Linked DNA regions of Arabidopsis thaliana. The protein of the gene in region 3 purifies or fractionates together with the protein of the main gene of each other region. This does not show direct contact. Each region holds a gene or a part of one and is shown on either strand. Other genes may lie near its edges. The genes, in order: AT1G06020, AT1G50390, AT2G05830 and AT1G06030.

Region 1 (4,159 bases), on a different chromosome or scaffold from region 3:
GAAATCAAATGATAGGTTGGTTTAATTCGGGTTTATGATACCGGTTTAAATAACCCGGTTCTAATAAAACCAGATAGAGTATTCTTCTTCCGGGTCTCTCTCTTTCATTTGACATTTCGCTCGCTGGGTTCTTCACCGCTTTCAAGCTCTCCTCTGGGTCTTTCTTTGAATCGTGAAAGGTATCGTTTTTATATCTCTCTATACTTGTCTGATTCTTTCTCTGGATCTTTTTCCGTCTCAAAATTTGTTAAGGGAACTACATTGGCTTGTCGATTTGCTTAACACAAGCAGTTCTCATTTTAGAGTTAACGAAAGTAGCAATCGGTTTTCGATTTTGTAAACTTTAATCGCCAATTACAGTTACTGAAACTCTGTATTGAGAGAATTAGGGTTCGGTTTCAAATCAGCTGGGTTTTGTAATTTTGTTTCTCGTTTATCTGAAACCCGAGTTTTTGAGGCTCTATGTGTTGGGATTAGAGTCTTACGAGATTGTTATAATTAGGATTCGATTAATTTGTGGTGTAAATTCTGGTGGGAGATGTTTATGCAATCTCTAAACCCCTTTTTTCTGCAGTTATGTCTTATAATCAGTTTCTGCTTACTGCATTTTGATCTCTAGTAAACCATTTTTTCTCACTATTTTGTATCGAAATCAATGAGGGAACCACCAAATAATCCCCATCTATTGATTGAATGATTCTTCTTGTTTAGTTTAGATTCGTCACAAGAAACAAAATCTTGATAATTGGTCTAGGTTTCTGATCACTGGTTAGCCAAACTGTAGTCTGGTTTTAGTTTGTCACTCTGCTAAAAAAATTGGGATGAATTTGTGATGCTAGGAAATGGGAAGAGAGAAGAGCCCTGGTTTGAAGATCCTCTGGGTATGGACTATCGGCACTGCTGCTAGTATGATTCTCTTTCTGACATTCACTGAATTTCGTCATGAGATCATATGTATGTGTTAATACTGACTAGTCTTCTACTGGTTTGCAGTATTGGTGACAAGTGTTGTCCGCACAAGAATGCAGGATATGCAAACAATGATGAACCAGAACCAGGAACAAGCACCAAAAGAAAACCAGAACGGAAGTGCAGGTGATTCTTCCGTCTTAATGGATGAAACAGTTTTGCCTGAGTCGGATCGAGAGATTGCAGAAAAGCTTTAAAGAAAGAAGAGCCTGGTTCTAGTGTTGTCTTCCTTTTCTTCTCTTCCTTTTTCAGCTCTCCATGAAGGTGATGAAACATGTTTTAATGGTTTTGGTAATAGTTTCCGAATATGAGTAGATGATGCTAGTCTCTAGATGTGTCTAGGAAAATAAAACTTGAAAAGTGAATTGCTCAGGAAGCTTGATGAGGAGTGTCTAGCAGTTTTTTCGTGTGTGAATATTTTCCCTTGCAAGGATGATATATGATAAAGTTGCTAAGCGAAATTTTCTTTTCTCTTCTTATGTTCTATGCTAATCAAGGCTACCAAAAGGCATCAACTTTATTTAGTTCGGTCTGTGTTACATATGACTTATAATCATTTTTTGGTGGTAAACAAACTTTTTTAATTTGGTGGTAAACAAACTTTACAATACTGAGACATGAATTTTAGGTCAAAAACTGAGTGAGAGAATAGATATTTAAGAGTGCTTTGTTCTTATCCACTATATATTCAAAGTTCGAAATTCCATGATCAATGTAGAAATGTTGAATTCAATTGAACCTGTAAAGCTGTATCACTACATTTTTTTTTTTTTTTTGGTAGGCGTATCACTACAATTATGGAACAAATGAAAATCAGATACAAGAATTTTTGCTGGAATGGTAATAAATCAGAAATTCAAAATATAGTCTACCTGGAATTTCCATAAACTTGGATATTCCACGTTTCAGTTCAAACATATCTTCAAGGATTGACTTGTTTATTATGTGACTTCAAAGGATTAAAAACCATTTGAGCCTTTATTATATAAAAACCTACTCCATAGTCCATACTTCGTTCATTTTTATACTCTCTTATCATTTTCATTTTTCGAACGGAAAATCGATCTTGTTCGAATGGCATCATCCACCGGCGAGAAAGGTCTCATCGTGAGCTTCGGCGAGATGCTCATTGACTTCGTCCCTACCGTATCCGGCGTCTCCCTCTCCGAATCCCCCGGATTTCTCAAAGCTCCCGGCGGTGCTCCGGCCAACGTCGCCATCGCTGTTTCACGTCTTGGAGGTCGTGCCGCCTTCGTTGGGAAGCTGGGAGACGATGATTTCGGTCATATGCTCGCCGGAATCTTGAGAAAGAACGGTGTCGACGATCAGGGGATCAATTTCGACGAAGGGGCGAGAACTGCACTCGCTTTTGTCACTTTGCGTTCTGACGGAGAACGAGAGTTTATGTTTTACCGGAATCCCAGCGCCGATATGCTTCTCCGGCCAGATGAACTGAATCTTGAACTTATCAGATCCGTACGTAAAATCTTTCTCTTTGTTTTCAAGATTGTTACTCGTTCTATCTTTTTATTTATTACATTTTTCTCTTACAAGGTTTTTTAATTTCTAAAACACGCAATTTTATAAATTTCCTTCGGTAATAATATGCCATGTGTAATTTTAACCCTAATTTTACTCTTATAATTTGAAACGTAAATCAAAGAAAGGTGATAATTAAATCAATACAAGGCGTTAATTAATAAAATTTTGTAAATTGCAAACCAATCTTTCCTTTTACGGTTAACAAATGAATATTAAAAAAAAGATGTTGAAGGTTATGAAGCTATGACTTTATTTGAATAAAAATACGATTTGATATAAATTTTATTTGTTTGTGCAGGCGAAAGTGTTCCACTATGGATCAATAAGTTTGATAACAGAGCCATGTAGATCAGCTCACATGAAGGCAATGGAAGTGGCGAAAGAAGCTGGAGCTCTTCTTTCCTACGATCCAAACCTCAGGGAACCTCTTTGGCCATCACCTGAAGAAGCTAGGACACAGATCATGAGTATCTGGGACAAGGCTGACATCATTAAGGTCAGTGACGTGGAGCTTGAATTCTTGACCGAAAACAAAACCATGGATGATAAGACAGCAATGTCTCTATGGCATCCCAACCTTAAGCTCTTGCTTGTTACTCTCGGCGAAAAGGGATGTACTTATTTCACAAAGGTAAACATCTTTTTCGATTACTTGTTAATAAAGAAACTACTTTTGCAAGTCTTGATTGGGACAAAAACACTTGTGTAGAAATTCCATGGATCGGTAGAAACATTCCATGTGGACGCCGTGGATACTACCGGAGCTGGAGATTCGTTTGTTGGTGCACTTCTACAACAGATTGTTGATGACCAGTCCGTACTCGAGGTGGGTACTCAACTGAATGAATCTTCCTTAGTTGATCAAAATGCGATTTACTGATGATATCTTTTTTTCTTTAGGATGAAGCGAGGTTGAGAAAAGTGCTGAGATTTGCAAACGCTTGTGGAGCCATCACAACAACTAAAAAAGGAGCCATTCCAGCTCTTCCTACAGACATTGAAGCTCTCAGTTTTCTTAAAGACCAAAAGAAACGTCAAACCAATCTTAAATTCTCAAAATGGTGTTGTACGGCTTCTCCTTGTTAATTTTGATTTTGTGTGAGTTTAGATCCAAGCTGATAAGTCTTATTTGAAATAAAAGATCCCACAGTTTTTTTTTTAAATCAGATTTAAGAGACCTAAGTTTATGCGAAAGTGGAATTGAACCAATGCCGAATGTAAAAGTCAAAGAACTGTTATTTCATATTTGCTGCTCCACCAAATTTTCCTTTTTGTTAGTCATAGATATATAGACGAATCCATCTAATCCATTATATCAAAAATTTGTTGGTGTATTCATAGATATATAGACGAATCCATATAATTTGAATTAAATTTAAGAGTGTTGTGTTCATCAACTATCCAAATGTTTTAATTGCCATGATCAACCATATAGGAATGTTTCATAACCATATAGAAACGTTGAATTCATTGAACCTTTTAAAATTTCTTGTTTCAAAAGGTAGTCCATACATTAATTATTAAGAATTTTATCAACTACAATTATGGAAAAAATGATATTCAGATAGAATTTTTTTTTGCTCAAATGTTAATATATCTGAAATCAGGATATAGTATAACTGGAATTTCTAAATAAACTTATATATTC
Region 2 (2,938 bases), on a different chromosome or scaffold from region 3:
TAACCACAGAATTTTAGTAGAACAGTTTAAAATGGTAAAGCATAGTCACTTTACCTGAATATAGTTAGCTGCATAAACGGAATTGTTTCCAAGCTGAAGCTGAGTTCTGTAGTCAGACCCCTAAATAGGTGTAAACCGTGAATTGTCAAAACCAAATAAAAGCTAAAAGGAAAAACATACTGAACAGAGAAAAGCCCTCACCTTGTAATCAATGACGAGGTGGCCTTGCGACTTATCTTCTTCATCTGTCAGCTGGCAGAGAAAAGAAACAATATGGTTATAGATAGAAAGAAAACATTATGCAGCTACTACAACAAAGACCAGACACACAATAATTTCTGGTTACCAGAGCATTAGCCTTGACGGAAAAATTGTCAGTTAAATCGAACTTGGCTCTCGCATTTAGTCTACCGTCCGTCGTGATCCTTCCGATAAGATATAGCTGTTTAGAAGTTTGTAAATGTTATATCTTGCTGATGGAAACCATTAATAGTACCACAGAATACAATCAATAAACAACATACCTTTGGATCGATGAAACCAGCACCAAAGTCATAATTGGCAGTTGGAATTTTGATTATTTCGGATGATGGAGTTGGATTAGGAACCTCAGTTGGCCCCATCAATATGCTGTTGGAAGCATCAATACACAGGCTTGGTTAAGAACACAAATAAGAATGATGTGCCACAAATTAACCTAAAATCTCATTACCTATGGCTGAGAAAAAACTTCTGGTTAAGCGACTTGTTATAGTCGAGGCGGAAACCCTCAAATAGCTCTGGCTTTAAAGCCACTGCAAAGTGAAATCAAACCAGTCAAAACACATGATCTTAAAATCACAGGCTAAGTTAATACATTATAAAAGGTTATGGCCACAGATGTAAAGGTTACGAATTGGTAGAATCAGAAGCATAATAACATATCCATAATACCAAAACACTCAATTACGATTGTTGGTTCAAACGCAGAGATATAAAAGACCAAGAAATCAGCGACCTAAGACAGAGACAGATTGTGATCTCCAAAAGAACAGAGAACGAATATATAAAGCAGTAGAGAGAGAGGGTGATACTGAACTGGTAGCTTCACGGTTGAGTTCCTCATAGAGGACAGGGCAAGGGAGGTTTGAGTAATCCACTTTCTCGTCAAGTTTGGTCTTTGCATCGACTTGCGCAGTGTTAATCGGTGGTGAAAAGCCCTCCATCGCTGCTGTTTACCGTCAAGGAAGAACTTTTTTGGGTCGCTAAAAGAGAAAACTGCAGAGGAATCGAAGACGAAGAGTCTTTCAAGGGTTTTTGGGTTTTGACTCTGCGTGTGCGTCAAGGGTTTTGTAATCGTGTCAATCTTAGTTTGGCCCGGTTTTATTTTACTTTTTTGAAACGGGTTGGAACCGACCTATTTCGGGTCATATACTTTACCGGTTTACCCTCATGCTCATAATTCACTATTTTATTTTCTTTTGGTGGCGAAAAATCAGTAATTATATTAATTACAAGTTTATTTTCATATAGTAAACTAAAATTTACAAAACAATTAAGAAGATCATCAAATAGTCAACAAATCTCCAAAACAAGATTTACTTGTTTTGGAGATTTGTTGCATATTTTTCTTTATTTGGCAGGCGAAAGTGTTTCACTATGGATCAATAAGTTTGATAACAGAGCCATGTAGATCAGCTCACATGAAGGCAACGGAAGAGGCGAAAGAAGCCGGAGCTCTTCTTTCCTACGATCCAAATCTCAGGGAACCTCTTTGGCCATCACCTGAAGAAGCTAGGACTCAGATCATGAGCATATGGGACAAGGCTGATATCATTAAGGTCAGTGATGTCGAGCTTGAGTTCTTGACAAGAAATAAAACGATCGATGATGAGACAGCTATGTCTCTTTGACATCCTAATTTGAAGCTCTTACTTGTTACTCTCGGTGAAAAGGGATGTCGTTACTACACTAAGGTAATGTACCACAAACATTCATATGAATCCATCATTATCAAGATCTTGGTGTGTGATTTTGATTGATGTTCTCTTGACTCTTGTGTAGGATTTCCATGGATCTGTTGAAACTTTCCATGTTGACGCTGTGGATACTACTGGAGCTGGTGATTCTTTTGTTGGCGCGCTTCTAAACCAGATTGTTGATGATCAATCTGTACTCGAGGTTAACTCCCATTGATATTGTGTGTCTACTTAATCAAATGAATCTTGATGATATTTACTGATTTTTATTTTCCTAGGAGGAAGAGAGATTGAGAAAAGTGCTTAGAATTGCAAATGCTTGTGGAGCAATCACGACGACTAAAAAGGGAGCCATTCCTGCTCTTCCTACAGATTGTGAAGCTCTCAGCTTTCTTAAGAGACAAGTAGAACAGTAAAACTTATCTTCGAGTCTAGAATTCTCCTTGTCTATTGTAATAATCTGTTCTGGATTCTTCCTGATGATTCTGATCATTTGTAATGTTTTTTTTTTTTTGGTTCTCTCTCTGTCTTTTCTTTTTCTTCTTCATTGTATTGAATAAAACAAACTTATGGCTTCTGAGCTTTTCTTGCTAATAGAAAACAAATAGTTTTTCGTAGTTGTTTGGAACCGTAGATTGCATTTAGAATTGTTTCTCAAGCCTTTGAAAACAGAGTAATAATCATGAAGAAACCAAAAAAAAAACAAGAAAAACAGAGAGAACACATTTAGTATCAAGTTTGTAGCATCAAAGCATTAAGCATATAGATCTCACAGATTAATTTGAGTATATTATTACTATTAAAAATTACTTTTTCTTATTGTCAAATAGATAAATTGATTGTGTGAACTTGAAGATTTTTGATTTGCTCTTTTAAGTCTTTAGCAACGCGAACAAAAAAGAAAAAGAATATGTAAAATGCTTGACGATCAAGTCATAAACTTATTGGTCTGCAATACTGGAGTTCTAATTTACACTGTA
Region 3 (5,062 bases):
AAAAAATCTCCAACAATTTCGATAATTTTACCTTGTGTTCTGTTTTTTTTTACTTTTTGACAGAGGAGTTTCATCATACATTCTTCTTCATCTACAATAGAAAAAGAGATTATTGTTAATTAACTTGATTTGATGTTTGTTTTGTGTCTCGAGAAGAGTTAATGGAACAATGAGTCAAAAAAGGCAGAAGAGAGAGAGATGGCTATGCGAAATGAAAGAGGCCTAGCGAAGAAACAAAGCCCTAATAAAAGCAGAGAAATGAAGCGAAAATGCGATCACATCCATGATTCATTTATTTTTAAATTTATTTATGTTATTAAAAATAAATTATAATTAAAAACATATACAAAATATTTTTAGTTATTGTACCTAAACCCGCACCAGTCCCGCTTAAGTTTTTCAGGTAACAGAATAAATTTAGGTGTGTTTGGTTACTGGTTAAATAGAATAATGAATTTCTATTATGTTTGGCAATTGAAATAATGTAATTCAGAAGAAAAAAAGGAAAATTTGACAACATTGTGAGTTTGTTTGTTCAGAAAAAACCTTTTTCTACTATAGATGATTACTTTCTGAGCTAAAAGAAATGCTTATTTTTAGTTTGACATCTAACTTCTCACTTGTCAAATTACTCTTTTCATTACTCATAAAAATGCATTAAACTTTTTTTATTGGTTACCGTGAATTAAAAATATATAATCACAAGGATATGTAGTTGAAAAGACTTCGTTGGCCCTTTTCGAATGATTTTAAAACCATCTCATACGTGTGCTAAAAGTTTTGTCTACCAACTGTTTGTCGAAATGCTTCCGAAACGTTTTTTGTTTGTTGATAAACTAATAATAATTCTGATTTTCTGGTATTTTTTATTTGTTGTGCCGACTATTTTGCAGACACGAGAGATTAAAGGTATCCCAAAAATTTCTGGGAATATAGTTCTTATTCACCAATCATTTGTAGCAAACAAGATAGAAAAAACATGCCTAATTCTCCAAAGTTTGTTTTCATAAGTAATTTTGAATAATTTTCATTTCTCTTTATTTACTTCCATTATTTTGATATATAGTTCATATCCATATCTCTTATGATTAATTTTTTAATCATAACATGAGAAACGATAGGAATGAAACCTATTTGTAGGCGTTTACGATATTTCTTATGATACATTTTTTTTGTAAATTAGAATTTAGAAGTAGTCACTTTCGTTTTCATTACTGGTTCAATTAGAATGAGATATGATAAAACTAATAATTTTTTTCAATTGTCTGCTCTACAATCTACACAGGATTCCAAGGAAAAAAATACTTTAGGACTTCACATCACCACATCAGATATTGTCAAAGACAATTTTGTTTTGTGAAATCGAATACTCTGAATCCGGCTTTGATATCGAGGAAAAAACGCTTGACAAAGCATTGAAAGAAAAAAAAAATATTAGTTAAAGGAACCTTATACATTTTATGAAGTTTTTTTTTTTGTAAGCACCCGAAATAAAATTGATGAAGTTTGAGTATATCACTATGCCTTATGGTTTTTGCCGACCAAAATATGTCGAAATTATGAATACATATATTTTATTTATTTATTTATATTCTATTAAAATTATTTTGGGTGTAATAATAAAATTAAACTTCTATCAATTTTAAAGGGAGGATTATTAATTTAAATAACATTAAATCATATATGATATATAATCAAATAATATTTTAGTAATCTTAAAATTAAATTAAAATTTAAAAACTGATATTTAGATAATCATAAAGTATTAACCCACAACAATAAGTGATTACAATTTAAAGAACTACTATTAGTTTCTTAAAATATTTTAAAAGCACATGTGTTCTAAAAAGGTTACAGGTAGATAAGCAGTCTGCTCCTAAAGAACTATAAACAATAATCACTTTTAATTTGTTTAAAACCAGCTTGTTTCACGCCCTAAATTAACTAAAATATATCTACCATTATTCCAGACAAAACGACGTCGGTTGGTGTGTTTCACGCCGGCTTGGTGCTCTAGGCATCTATCTGATTCTCACTATCACTACTGACACAAATCCTTTTCCTTTTGTTCCTCTTTCTCTAAACCAATCTTTAAAACAACTTATTCGTCTTCAAGATTTCTCCAACAAGTCCTACCATGTCCGGCGAAGGAGACACGACCCTCAAAGCTATCTGTTACAAGCCTGGCTCTCTCCAGTTACTCGATCAGGTTCTCTCTTTCACTTCTATAAAGTTTTCAAATTTATACTTTTTTTCCTCAAATCTGTTTACTCGTCTGAATTGGAACAGAGGAAGCTTCCTTTAGAGACTATTTACTTAGAGATTCGTGATGCTTCAGATGGATGGTAAAGTCTTTACCTTTATGATTAGAGATTGTTTTGGGAAAATTGTGGTTTAAAAAGTTTGATACTTTTGGTAGGAGTGCTATTCAGGAAATGGTTGTACGTGGTGCTCCTGCTATAGCTATTGCTGCTGCTCTTTCTTTGGCTGTTGAAGTTTTCAACTTTCATGGTTTTGATGGATCAGCTTCAGATGCTGTTGCTTTTCTTGAGAACAAGTTGGATTATTTAGTGTCAAGGTTAGATTTTGGATTTGTTAGTTAAGTTTTGCATCTTTGGTGCTTACTCTAATGTCTTTTGCTTTTTATGTTTGTTTCTTCAGCCGTCCAACAGCAGTTAATCTTGCAGATGCTGCTTTGAAACTTAAACATGTTATAGCAAAGGCCTTGGCTACTGCCACCGAAGCCAAATCCATTTTCAAGGTATCAAGAAGTTTCGTAATTCATCTGTGTGTGTGCCTTTTGCTTTTGTAAGTTTAGCTCATTCTCTGTGCTTGTTGTTCTTCAGGCATATATTGAAGCTAGTGAGGATATGCTTGAAGATGATGTTGTTTCAAACAAAGCTATAGGAAACTTTGGTTTAAGCTTGTTGAGGCAACAAGCCAAGAATCCTGATAAGCTTTCTGTTTTGACCCATTGCAACACTGGCAGGTATTGATTTAGCTAGATTTTCTGAATTGCATAGATACCGTCTGCATAAGTTACTCAAGTTGAGTAATAGCATGTTACCACATATGTGTATGCAGCTTCAACCAATAGAGTTGTGTAATGGTTTTTGGTGTTATGTTTATGTGGTAGATTCCTAGTAAGGCATTAACTACGAGTTCTATTGACTTTGTAGCCTTGCTACCGCCGGATATGGTACTGCCCTCGGTGTCATCCGTGCACTCCATACTCAAGGAATCTTAGAAAGAGCATACTGCACAGAAACTCGTCCATTTAATCAAGTAAAACTCCTAAATTAATACTTTTTCTTTCTCAATATCGTAAGAAGAAGAATCCGTAGAATACCTTAAGTTGTTAGGGACGATAATTACCTCTATATTGACATATGTGTTCTTATCAAAACGGTGGTAAAAGCTTCAAAACCATGAAGGAACGTAGGACAGATACTTCTTGTGGCAGCTCCCTGAATCCATTGCTTTATAGAGTTTTCATATCTTGTTGAACTGTTGTTGAAAGTCTTTTGAATTTATGACTAAATGGCAATTGACAGGGATCGAGGCTTACAGCGTTTGAGTTGGTGCATGAGAAAATCCCTGCAACTCTCATTGCAGACTCAGCTGCAGCTGCACTGATGAAAGATGGTCGTGTTGATGGTGTCATCGTTGGAGCTGATCGTGTGGCTTCAAATGGTACACTCAAACACCTTAGATAAATCCGTTTTCTCTCACAAATCTGATTCCTTATGACTGAATCACTTCTTAACCAATTCATTGATATACTCCAGGCGATACTGCTAACAAGATTGGGACTTACAGTCTCGCCTTGTGCGCAAAACATCACGGGATCCCATTTTATGTTGCTGCACCTCTTACCTCAGTTGATCTGTCACTTTCATCCGGGAAAGAAATCGTGATAGAGGAAAGATCTCCAAAGGAGTTGATGCACACACACGGAGGACTTGGTGAACGCATTGCAGCACCAGGGATCTCAGTTTGGAACCCAGCTTTTGATATGACTCCAGCAGAGCTGATTGCAGGAATCATAACCGAGAAAGTTCGTTTTTCCAGCCTTGCTTGTTCTGGAAGATATTTATGCTCATTTATTTGAATCTCTCAACGTGTTTGTATATGCAGGGGGTCATAACAAAGAATGGCAATGATACATTTGACATAAGCAGCTTTGCCAAGAAGATAACAGGAAACTCATCTCGTTGAAGTTAGAGTCAGCATTGCGACTTGCGGATGTTCCCCTCTCTCTATATACTTGCAACAAAGCAAATTACTTTGTAATGTTTGAGCTACTAAGTACACTGTGGTAAAAATTGTCAAAAATAAGAAATAATCGATACGTTTTAGCCAATTGTAGGTAGCCAAAATGCTGGTCTTGGGTTTAATGCTAATGAAGATTGGGAAACAACTTGTTTTAGTGTAAAACAACTTGTCCATGGGCTTGCCCGGTCCATCTTGACTTGGTTCTTATTTCTCTATTTTTTTAAGTTTAAGAAAAGAATACCGTTTCTCCTACCCGTCAATATTGAAATAATTTCAGAGGTTTTCCTTGTTCTGTGTCAACAAACAATTCGAAATGCCTCGACTTTATCAATTTTTTGATAATTCTGAACTTTAGACCAAATGCATATGGACGAGCTATATTCTGGACCAAAAAACAAATGGTCTAATTGGGCATATGACCAGTTTTGTCCACGGATAATATGGGCTTGACCATATGGACAACGGGCTGCCCATGGGCATGAATTGAGTCAATAGACATGTCTTCATTTAATTGTATTTTTATAATTTTAATTACAATTACAACTAAATAATTTTTAAATAATATATTTTACATTTATAAGTTTTTACTTTTCTGAAAATTTTAAATTTTAATGAATTATTTCTTATTAAATTATTTACGATTTTAAAGGAAAGATAGTATTCCACAATTTTCTGGAATACGCAATTTTTAAATTTTACGGTTTTGACGGGAAAAATACAATTCTCCGATTTTACGATTTTGACGGAAAAACGTAATTCTGCAAATTTTCCACCAAAATCGTGATTT
Region 4 (3,955 bases), on a different chromosome or scaffold from region 3:
GTGATCAGATTAATGACAAGGCTCTTCCTGCAGCTGAAGTTCCTGAGCTTTCTGTTTCGCATTTAGGTCATGTTCATTCATACAAACCTATGAAGTCAAATGTTTCACACAAGAAGCCGAGGTTTGAGACCAGATATGATGATGATGATGAGGAACACTTCATTGTCCCTGATCTTGGCTAAAAAGCTATATGTAATCTATGTGTAGACATTCTTCAATGTAAAAGAACAAACAAGAAACCTATCTGCATGTGTGGAGTTAATGTCATATACATTTTAGTTTTGTCTTAAGTTGTGTAAGATATGTTGAGAGCTTATAACAAATGTCTGTGTTTGAGTTTTGTTCATACCTCTTGAACATGGTCTATGCTTAATGCTTTGATGCTACAAACTTGATACTAAATGTGTTCTCTCTGTTCTTTCTTGGTTTTTTTTTGTTTGTTCCTGATTATTACTCTGTTTTCAAAGCCTTGAGAAACAATCCTCAATGCAATTTACGGTTCCAAACAACTACGAAAAACTCTTTGTTTTCTATTAGCAAGAAAAGCTCAGAAGTCACAAGTCTGTTTTATTCAATACAATGAAGAAGAAAAAGAAAAGACAGAGAGAGAACCAAAAAAAAAAAACATTACAAATGATCAGAATCATCAGGAAGAATCCAGAACAGATTATTACAATAGACAAGGAGAATTCTGGACTCGAAGAGAAGTTTTACTATTCTACTTGTATCTTAAGAAAACTGAGAGCTTCACAATCTGTAGGAAGAGCTGGAATGGCTCCCTTTTTAGTCGTCGTGATTGCTCCACAAGCGTTTGCAAATCTCAGCACTTTTCTCAATCTCTCTTCCTCCTAAGAAACGAGAAAAATCAGTAAATATCATCAACAATATTCAGTTGATTGAATAGACACACAATATCAATGGGAGTTAACCTCGAGTACAGATTGATCATCAACAATCTGGTTTAGAAGCGCGCCAACAAAAGAATCACCAGCTCCAGTAGTATCCACAGCGTCAACATGGAAAGTTTCAACAGATCCATGGAAATCCTACACAAGAGTCAAGAGAACATCAATCAAAATCACACACCAAGATCATCATGATGATGATGAATCCACATGAATGTTTGTTGTACATTACCTTAGTGTAGTAACGACATCCATTTTCGCCAAGTGTAACAAGCAAGAGCTTCAAATTAGGATGCCACAGAGACATAGCTGTCTCATCATCAATCGTTTTGTTTCCTGTCAAGAACTCAAGCTCGACGTCACTGACCTTAATAATGTCAGCCTTGTCCCAGATACTCATGATCTGTTTCCTAGCTTCTTCAGGGGATGGCCACAGAGGTTCCCTGAGGTTTGGATCGTAGGAAAGAAGAGCTCCAGCTTCTTTCGCCACCTCCATCGCCTTCATGTGAGCTGATCTACATGGCTCTGTAATCAAACTTATTGATCCATAGTGAAACACTTTCGCCTGCCAAATAAAGAAAAATATTCATCAAATCTCCAAAACAAGTAAAATCTTGAAATCTTGAAAACAGAGATCATAAAGATTTTACGTACGGATCTGATTAGTTCGAGGTTGAGTTCATCTGGCCGGAGAAGCATATCGGCGCTGGGATTCCGGTAAAACATAAACTCTCGTTCTCCGTCAGAACGCAGAGTCACAAAAGCGAGTGCGGTTCTTGCTCCTTTATCGAAATTGATCCCCTGATCGTCGACATCGTTCTTTCTCAAGATTCCGGCAAGCATATGGCCAAACTCATCGTCCCCGAGTTTTCCGACGAAGGCGGCGCGACCTCCGAGACGGGAAACAGCGATAGCGACGTTTGCTGGAGCACCACCAGGAGCTTTGAGAAATCCAGAGGATTCAGAGAGGGAGACGCCGGATTCCGTGGGCACGAAGTCAATGAGCATCTCGCCGAAGCTAACGACGAGACCTTTATTATCGCCGTTGGATGACGTCATTTGAACAAGATCGATTTTGTGTTCCAGAGATCGAAGAATGAAAACGATAGAGAGAATGAAGAGTGAACGAAGTTTTGAGTAGTTTATATAAGGCTCTAGGAGAGTGAAGACAGGGTTTAAATCTTGTTTTGAGGTCATATTTCTTCACATTAATGGCTTTTTATAAAGAAAAATGACAAATCATAAATAATTAAATCCTTGAAGGTTTGAAAAGTGGAATATATAAGTTTATTTAGAAATTCCAGTTATACTATATCCTGATTTCAGATATATTAACATTTGAGCAAAAAAAAATTCTATCTGAATATCATTTTTTCCATAATTGTAGTTGATAAAATTCTTAATAATTAATGTATGGACTACCTTTTGAAACAAGAAATTTTAAAAGGTTCAATGAATTCAACGTTTCTATATGGTTATGAAACATTCCTATATGGTTGATCATGGCAATTAAAACATTTGGATAGTTGATGAACACAACACTCTTAAATTTAATTCAAATTATATGGATTCGTCTATATATCTATGAATACACCAACAAATTTTTGATATAATGGATTAGATGGATTCGTCTATATATCTATGACTAACAAAAAGGAAAATTTGGTGGAGCAGCAAATATGAAATAACAGTTCTTTGACTTTTACATTCGGCATTGGTTCAATTCCACTTTCGCATAAACTTAGGTCTCTTAAATCTGATTTAAAAAAAAAACTGTGGGATCTTTTATTTCAAATAAGACTTATCAGCTTGGATCTAAACTCACACAAAATCAAAATTAACAAGGAGAAGCCGTACAACACCATTTTGAGAATTTAAGATTGGTTTGACGTTTCTTTTGGTCTTTAAGAAAACTGAGAGCTTCAATGTCTGTAGGAAGAGCTGGAATGGCTCCTTTTTTAGTTGTTGTGATGGCTCCACAAGCGTTTGCAAATCTCAGCACTTTTCTCAACCTCGCTTCATCCTAAAGAAAAAAAGATATCATCAGTAAATCGCATTTTGATCAACTAAGGAAGATTCATTCAGTTGAGTACCCACCTCGAGTACGGACTGGTCATCAACAATCTGTTGTAGAAGTGCACCAACAAACGAATCTCCAGCTCCGGTAGTATCCACGGCGTCCACATGGAATGTTTCTACCGATCCATGGAATTTCTACACAAGTGTTTTTGTCCCAATCAAGACTTGCAAAAGTAGTTTCTTTATTAACAAGTAATCGAAAAAGATGTTTACCTTTGTGAAATAAGTACATCCCTTTTCGCCGAGAGTAACAAGCAAGAGCTTAAGGTTGGGATGCCATAGAGACATTGCTGTCTTATCATCCATGGTTTTGTTTTCGGTCAAGAATTCAAGCTCCACGTCACTGACCTTAATGATGTCAGCCTTGTCCCAGATACTCATGATCTGTGTCCTAGCTTCTTCAGGTGATGGCCAAAGAGGTTCCCTGAGGTTTGGATCGTAGGAAAGAAGAGCTCCAGCTTCTTTCGCCACTTCCATTGCCTTCATGTGAGCTGATCTACATGGCTCTGTTATCAAACTTATTGATCCATAGTGGAACACTTTCGCCTGCACAAACAAATAAAATTTATATCAAATCGTATTTTTATTCAAATAAAGTCATAGCTTCATAACCTTCAACATCTTTTTTTTAATATTCATTTGTTAACCGTAAAAGGAAAGATTGGTTTGCAATTTACAAAATTTTATTAATTAACGCCTTGTATTGATTTAATTATCACCTTTCTTTGATTTACGTTTCAAATTATAAGAGTAAAATTAGGGTTAAAATTACACATGGCATATTATTACCGAAGGAAATTTATAAAATTGCGTGTTTTAGAAATTAAAAAACCTTGTAAGAGAAAAATGTAATAAATAAAAAGATAGAACGAGTAACAATCTTGAAAACAAAGAGAAAGATTTTACGTACGGATCTGATAAGTTCAAGATTCAGTTCATCTGGCCGGAGAAGCATATCGGCGCTGGGATTC

The links.
Region 1: the proteins of AT2G05830 (region 3) and AT1G06020 fractionate together in Arabidopsis thaliana (co-fractionation; one large-scale study listed by BioGRID). This does not show direct contact.
Region 2: the proteins of AT2G05830 (region 3) and AT1G50390 fractionate together in Arabidopsis thaliana (co-fractionation; one large-scale study listed by BioGRID). This does not show direct contact.
Region 4: the proteins of AT2G05830 (region 3) and AT1G06030 fractionate together in Arabidopsis thaliana (co-fractionation; one large-scale study listed by BioGRID). This does not show direct contact.

The regions. Positions count from the first base shown.
Region 1 is NC_003070.9:1,822,505-1,826,663, forward strand, and holds AT1G06020 (pfkB-like carbohydrate kinase family protein), read left to right. Parts: upstream 1-1,745; 5' UTR 1,746-2,043; coding exon 2,044-2,445; intron 2,446-2,809; coding exon 2,810-3,142; intron 3,143-3,220; coding exon 3,221-3,337; intron 3,338-3,411; coding exon 3,412-3,597; 3' UTR 3,598-3,659; downstream 3,660-4,159. Other genes in the region: AT1G06010 (basic leucine zipper/W2 domain protein), read left to right, coding at 843-906, 994-1,166. UniProt on the Arabidopsis thaliana protein: May play an important role in maintaining the flux of carbon towards starch formation.
Region 2 is NC_003070.9:18,666,422-18,669,359, reverse strand, and holds AT1G50390 (pfkB-like carbohydrate kinase family protein), read left to right. Parts: upstream 1-1,682; coding exon 1,683-1,820; intron 1,821-1,907; coding exon 1,908-1,955; intron 1,956-2,043; coding exon 2,044-2,160; intron 2,161-2,236; coding exon 2,237-2,374; downstream 2,375-2,938. Other genes in the region: AT1G50400 (Eukaryotic porin family protein), read right to left, coding at 55-120, 202-252, 347-442, 525-630, 713-794, 1,079-1,205. UniProt on the Arabidopsis thaliana protein: May play an important role in maintaining the flux of carbon towards starch formation.
Region 3 is NC_003071.7:2,227,622-2,232,683, forward strand, and holds AT2G05830 (NagB/RpiA/CoA transferase-like superfamily protein), read left to right. Parts: upstream 1-1,917; 5' UTR 1,918-2,137; coding exon 2,138-2,209; exon of another isoform or gene 2,210-2,289; coding exon 2,290-2,345; intron 2,346-2,419; coding exon 2,420-2,578; intron 2,579-2,661; coding exon 2,662-2,761; intron 2,762-2,846; coding exon 2,847-2,989; intron 2,990-3,179; coding exon 3,180-3,285; intron 3,286-3,554; coding exon 3,555-3,693; intron 3,694-3,788; coding exon 3,789-4,057; intron 4,058-4,137; coding exon 4,138-4,218; 3' UTR 4,219-4,528; downstream 4,529-5,062. UniProt on the Arabidopsis thaliana protein: Catalyzes the interconversion of methylthioribose-1-phosphate (MTR-1-P) into methylthioribulose-1-phosphate (MTRu-1-P).
Region 4 is NC_003070.9:1,824,889-1,828,843, reverse strand, and holds AT1G06030 (pfkB-like carbohydrate kinase family protein), read right to left. Parts: upstream 2,042-3,955; 5' UTR 1,965-2,041; coding exon 1,560-1,964; intron 1,471-1,559; coding exon 1,138-1,470; intron 1,047-1,137; coding exon 930-1,046; intron 849-929; coding exon 714-848; 3' UTR 565-713; downstream 1-564. Other genes in the region: STO (B-box zinc finger family protein), read left to right, coding at 1-182; AT1G06020 (pfkB-like carbohydrate kinase family protein), read right to left, coding at 2,743-2,928, 3,003-3,119, 3,198-3,530, 3,895-3,955. UniProt on the Arabidopsis thaliana protein: May play an important role in maintaining the flux of carbon towards starch formation.